Saccharomyces cerevisiae S288C: one gene and its partner. The protein of the gene in region 2 interacts with the protein of the main gene of each other region in a pairwise test. Each region holds a gene or a part of one and is shown on either strand. Other genes may lie near its edges.

Evidence for each region.
Region 1: the proteins of SNO2 (region 2) and SNZ3 interact in a two-hybrid assay, tested with the Saccharomyces cerevisiae proteins (2 studies listed by BioGRID).

The regions. Positions count from the first base shown.
Region 1 is NC_001138.5:9,246-12,862, reverse strand, and holds SNZ3 (pyridoxine biosynthesis protein SNZ3), read right to left. Parts: upstream 1,501-3,617; coding exon 604-1,500; downstream 1-603. Other genes in the region: SNO3 (putative pyridoxal 5'-phosphate synthase), read left to right, coding at 1,894-2,562; DDI3 (cyanamide hydratase), read right to left, coding at 2,641-3,318. UniProt on the Saccharomyces cerevisiae protein: Catalyzes the formation of pyridoxal 5'-phosphate from ribose 5-phosphate (RBP), glyceraldehyde 3-phosphate (G3P) and ammonia. The ammonia is provided by a SNO isoform.
Region 2 is NC_001146.8:11,703-14,730, forward strand, and holds SNO2 (putative pyridoxal 5'-phosphate synthase), read right to left. Parts: upstream 1,175-3,028; coding exon 506-1,174; downstream 1-505. Other genes in the region: DDI2 (cyanamide hydratase), read left to right, coding at 1-427; pyridoxine biosynthesis protein SNZ2, read left to right, coding at 1,565-2,461. UniProt on the Saccharomyces cerevisiae protein: Catalyzes the hydrolysis of glutamine to glutamate and ammonia as part of the biosynthesis of pyridoxal 5'-phosphate. The resulting ammonia molecule is channeled to the active site of a SNZ isoform.

The DNA of each region.
Region 1 (3,617 bases), on a different chromosome or scaffold from region 2:
AATGGACAAGAATATTGTTCATGAAGATGATAATACGAGGTTTTTATATGTTTTGTTTGCTGTCGTCGCAAGAGATTGATGTTGCTTATTTTGCTATAACAGCACCATTTTCATAATCTGAATAAGTAATATTTCAAGCCTTCTGCTAGTTGAATAATTCGTATATTTCATAGTTCATGAGCCGTTCAATTGGAACTGTACTCATTGCATCATAGCCAAAAACCGATAAATGCATTAATGTTGTCACCTCCAGGTGATTTGCTGTCTTTATGCACTAACGCGCCAATCTCGTCCCCCTAAAAAATTAAGCCGACTCATCGCCTAATAGCATATAATAATCTTCCTCGAAAAGAATATACATGCATATTTGTAAACACATATATATATACGTAAACATACATATGTATATACGTGAACGATTGTGCCCTTTAGGCAAGGCCAATGTGAAAGACTGATAGGATGAAAAAGTTTTAACGTTTAATTCTCATATATACAAACTGGCTGAATATGGTTTCCATGTTGTGCTACATAATATATAGAAACTACAATAGCCGACTGCCCCTTCGAAGGAAACAAATTAGCGTTGTGTGAGCATCGCTAGTTCTACCATCCGATTTCAGAAAGTCTTGCACCGTTTTTGCCTCCTGCTTCATTAATTGATTGGATGGAAATACCACCCATCAAGTCACCCAAATCGCTGGAAACTTGCAATAGTTTTGCTGGGTTATCGTAGTGAGTCGTGGCTTCAACGATAGCACATGCTAACTTCTCAGGATCTGACGATTTGAATATACCTGAGCCGACGAAAACACCTTCACAACCCAATTGCATCAATAGAGCAGCGTCTGCTGGAGTAGCAACTCCACCAGCAGCAAAATTGACTACAGGTAGCTTTCCCTCTGATAGTGTTGTCTTCAGCAAGTCGACAGGGACGCGTAATTCTGTGGCCTTAGCTGCAAAATCGGATTCGGTCTTCAAATTCTCTTTATACTGCTGGATCTCCGCCTTAATCTTGGTGATGTGCTTGACGGCCTCGGAAACGTCACCGGTACCTGCTTCACCTTTGGTACGGATCATTGCAGCACCTTCGTTTATTCTTCTCAAAGCCTCACCTAGATCCTTGGCACCGCAAACAAATGGCACCTTGAAGTTATGCTTCTCAATGTGATGTGTCCAATCAGCTGGAGTCAAAACCTCACTTTCGTCAATGTAGTCTACTTGCAGCTCTTCCAGGATCTGTGCCTCCACGAAGTGTCCAATACGGACCTTTGCCATCACCGGAATTGAAACAGCTTCCATAATTTCTTTGATCATGCGAGGATCTGACATACGGCATACTTGGCCAGACTTGCGCATGTCAGCTGGAATGCGTTCCAATGCCATTACAGCACAAGCGCCCGCTCTTTCTGCGATAATAGCCTGTTCAGGTGTGACGACGTCCATAATCACACCGCCCTTTAACATTTGGGCAAGCCCAGTTTTAACCTTGAATTCTGACATTTTTGTCTTTTTTACGATATACTTATTTTTCTATTATAGTTCCTTTCCCAGAAGGGTCGAATAATAATGTGACTATGGTGGAGAAACATACTAGTTTTATATATGTGTGTGTGTGTGTGTGAAATTCATTCCACATGAACAAATAATTCTGCTCTTTCCTTGCCACAACATTTTGCCATTCAAACGATATAATGTGCCTACTACTGTTATGCCATTGGGCGGCGCGTCACTTTATTGGAAACTGTAAGAATAGTTGAGCCATCTTTCATCATTCAGCTACAAAAAAAAAAAAAAGTTATTCATTGATAAAAGCCCATTTTTTTCTGTTTGAGTAGCAAGCACACTTACCATGACCCTGGTTGCTGGGGCCAAGACAAGAGTAATATCTCAAAAATGACCGTCGTTATCGGAGTCTTGGCATTACAGGGTGCGTTCATTGAACATGTGCGACACGTAGAAAAATGCATCGTCGAAAACAGGGATTTCTATGAAAAAAAACTATCTGTGATGACAGTGAAGGATAAAAATCAACTAGCTCAATGTGATGCATTGATCATACCTGGGGGAGAGTCGACTGCAATGTCCCTTATTGCAGAAAGAACAGGATTTTACGACGATCTCTACGCATTCGTACACAACCCAAGCAAGGTAACCTGGGGTACTTGTGCAGGTTTGATTTATATTTCACAACAATTATCTAACGAAGCAAAACTGGTCAAGACGCTGAATTTACTAAAGGTTAAAGTAAAAAGAAATGCATTTGGGAGACAAGCTCAGTCTTCTACCCGGATTTGCGACTTTTCAAACTTTATTCCTCACTGCAATGATTTTCCTGCTACTTTTATAAGAGCCCCAGTAATAGAAGAGGTGCTGGATCCTGAACATGTGCAGGTCCTGTACAAATTAGATGGGAAGGATAATGGTGGTCAAGAACTAATTGTTGCCGCTAAGCAAAAAAACAATATTCTTGCGACATCATTTCATCCGGAATTGGCAGAAAACGATATACGGTTTCACGACTGGTTCATCAGAGAATTTGTTCTTAAAAACTACAGTAAATAAAAGGGACGTATAGTATAGTTATGGAGAAAGGAGATCATCACTGTTCATTCTGAACTCGCCTCATTGAAACTTACCTATTTAGTTATACCCAAATGTATTGCATATGACTTTCTTTGAAAAATCATCACCCAAAGAACTGGTGTGGCCCCACGGTTTTCTCGAGTTTTCAGTGTCCACCACCGTAGCAAAACATGATAACCAGTGCAGTCTTGGAAATTGCTCGTTAATGGCACTAACTGTATCGATATGAATCAGATCGGTATTGGATCCGACATTGTCAAGCGTAGTAGCAATCTGCAGAATGAGCCCCAAGGTGGTAATGTAGCCAGTCCCAGTCAAATCCTGGTGACGAATGATGGCCTCAGTTACTGCATCTGCATAGTCCTGATTTCCACCTGTCGCATTAAATACAAGCTCCCTTGAAAGTATGCCACCATAATACTCAAATGACATCTTCGTGGCTCTCATATTCTTATCTGTTGTTGCAATATCATGAAGTAAGCAGGTGACGTACAAAACTTCCTGATCCAAGTCCCATGCTGGAAATTGGTCTCTTATGATAGCTACACTATATTGAAAAACACGCAAAGAGTGGTTTAGAACGGGGGCAGTCAATTCTTTAGCGGCATATTCCCGAACAAGCCTAGCAGTTTCACTGTTTGGAGGCGGAACAACGGCCCGTGGTCTAGGTGCATTCACCACTGGAATGGCCTTTTCTACCTCTCTAGGAACTCTTACAAATCCGTACTGTGACATGATTGATTCTTTTGAAGAGAAGCAAGGCAAAAAACAGTACGAAGCAACTTCATGTTAACAGAAGAAGAAGGAAACTAACCCATTTATATATAATTTTATGAGGGGACCGATCCTAAAAAGTTATTTGTAAAGCTCGTACAAGATTGATTGATGACTTCCCGACAAACTATTGTGCGGTGGAGTATTTTGTATTATAGAAATGATAGTGTCCATGCACTTTAATAAGATCTTTTTTGCGGACATTTGTTTCGGGGCCGTCCAAAGTTGTTTGATGGTATAACTCCGCATATTTGACATCT
Region 2 (3,028 bases):
CTGCTTACTTCATGATATTGCAACAACAGATAAGAATATGAGAGCCACGAAGATGTCATTTGAGTATTATGGTGGCATACTTTCAAGGGAGCTTGTATTTAATGCGACAGGTGGAAATCAGGACTACGCAGATGCAGTAACTGAGGCCATCATTCGTCACCAGGATTTGACTGGGACTGGCTACATTACCACCTTGGGGCTCATTCTGCAGATTGCTACTACGCTTGACAATGTCGGATCCAATACCGATCTGATTCATATCGATACAGTTAGTGCCATTAACGAGCAATTTCCAAGACTGCACTGGTTATCATGTTTTGCTACGGTGGTGGACACTGAAAACTCGAGAAAACCGTGGGGCCACACCAGTTCTTTGGGTGATGATTTTTCAAAGAAAGTCATATGCAATACATTTGGGTATAACTAAATAGGTAAGTTTCAATGAGGCGAGTTCAGAATGAACAGTGATGATCTCCTTTCTCCATAACTATACTATACGTCCCTTTTATTTACTGTAGTTTTTAAGAACAAATTCTCTGATGAACCAGTCGTGAAACCGTATATCGTTTTCTGCCAATTCCGGATGAAATGATGTCGCAAGAATATTGTTTTTTTGCTTAGCGGCAACAATTAGTTCTTGACCACCATTATCCTTCCCATCTAATTTGTACAGGACCTGCACATGTTCAGGATCCAGCACCTCTTCTATTACTGGGGCTCTTATAAAAGTAGCAGGAAAATCATTGCAGTGAGGAATAAAGTTTGAAAAGTCGCAAATCCGGGTAGAAGACTGAGCTTGTCTCCCAAATGCATTTCTTTTTACTTTAACCTTTAGTAAATTCAGCGTCTTGACCAGTTTTTCTTCGTTAGATAATTGTTGTGAAATATAAATCATACCTGCACAAGTACCCCAGGTTACCTTGCTTGGGTTGTGTACGAATGCGTAGAGATCGTCGTAAAATCCTGTTCTTTCTGCAATAAGGGACATTGCAGTCGACTCTCCCCCAGGTATGATCAATGCATCACATTGAGCTAGTTGATTTTTATCCTTCACTGTCATCACAGATAGTTTTTTTTCATAGAAATCCCTGTTTTCGACGATGCATTTTTCTACGTGTCGCACATGTTCAATGAACGCACCCTGTAATGCCAAGACTCCGATAACGACGGTCATTTTTGAGATATTACTCTTGTCTTGGCCCCAGCAACCGGGGTCATGGTAAGTGTGCTTGCTACTCAAACAGAAAAAAATGGGCTTTTATCAATGAATAACTTTTTTTTTTTGTAGCTGAATGATGAAAGATGGCTCAACTATTCTTACAGTTTCCAATAAAGTGACGCGCCGCCCAATGGCATAACAGTAGTAGGCACATTATATCGTTTGAATGGCAAAATGTTGTGGCAAGGAAAGATCAGAATTATTTGTTCATGTGGAATGAATTTCACACACACACACACACATATATAAAACTAGTATGTTTCTCCACCATAGTCACATTATTATTCGACCCTTCTAGGAAAGGAACTATAATAGAAAAATAAGTATATCGTAAAAAAGACAAAAATGTCAGAATTCAAGGTTAAAACTGGGCTTGCCCAAATGTTAAAGGGCGGTGTGATTATGGACGTCGTCACACCTGAACAGGCTATTATCGCAGAAAGAGCGGGCGCTTGTGCTGTAATGGCATTGGAACGCATTCCAGCTGACATGCGCAAGTCTGGCCAAGTATGCCGTATGTCAGATCCTCGCATGATCAAAGAAATTATGGAAGCTGTTTCAATTCCGGTGATGGCAAAGGTCCGTATTGGACACTTCGTGGAGGCACAGATCCTGGAAGAGCTGCAAGTAGACTACATTGACGAAAGCGAGGTTTTGACTCCAGCTGATTGGACACATCACATTGAGAAGCATAACTTCAAGGTGCCATTTGTTTGCGGTGCCAAGGATCTAGGTGAGGCTTTGAGAAGAATAAACGAAGGTGCTGCAATGATCCGTACCAAAGGTGAAGCAGGTACCGGTGACGTTTCCGAGGCCGTCAAGCACATCACCAAGATTAAGGCGGAGATCCAGCAGTATAAAGAGAATTTGAAGACCGAATCCGATTTTGCAGCTAAGGCCACAGAATTACGCGTCCCTGTCGACTTGCTGAAGACAACACTATCAGAGGGAAAGCTACCTGTAGTCAATTTTGCTGCTGGTGGAGTTGCTACTCCAGCAGACGCTGCTCTATTGATGCAATTGGGTTGTGAAGGTGTTTTCGTCGGTTCAGGTATATTCAAATCGTCAGATCCTGAGAAGTTAGCATGTGCTATTGTTGAAGCCACGACTCACTACGATAATCCAGCAAAACTGTTGCAAATTTCCAGCGATTTGGGTGACTTGATGGGTGGTATTTCCATCCAATCAATTAATGAAGCAGGAGGCAAAAACGGTGCAAGACTTTCTGAAATCGGATGGTAGAACTAGCGATGCTCACACAACGCTAATTTGTTTCCTTCGAAGGGGCAGTCGGCTATTGTAGTTTCTATATATTATGTAGCACAACATGGAAACCATATTCAGCCAGTTTGTATATATGAGAATTAAACGTTAAAACTTTTTCATCCTATCAGTCTTACACATTGGCCTTGCTAAAGGGCACAATCGTTCACGTATATACATATGTATGTTTACGTATATATATATGTGTTTACAAATATGCATGTATATTCTTTTCGAGGAAGATTATTATATGCTATTAGGCGATGAGTCGGCTTAATTTTTTAGGGGGACGAGATTGGCGCGTTAGTGCATAAAGACAGCAAATCACCTGGAGGTGACAACATTAATGCATTTATCGGTTTTTGGCTATGATGCAATGAGTACAGTTCCAATTGAACGGCTCATGAACTATGAAATATACGAATTATTCAACTAGCAGAAGGCTTGAAATATTACTTATTCAGATTATGAAAATGGTGCTGTTATAGCAAAATAAGCAACATCAATCTCTTGCGACGACAGCAAACAAAACATATAAAAACCTCG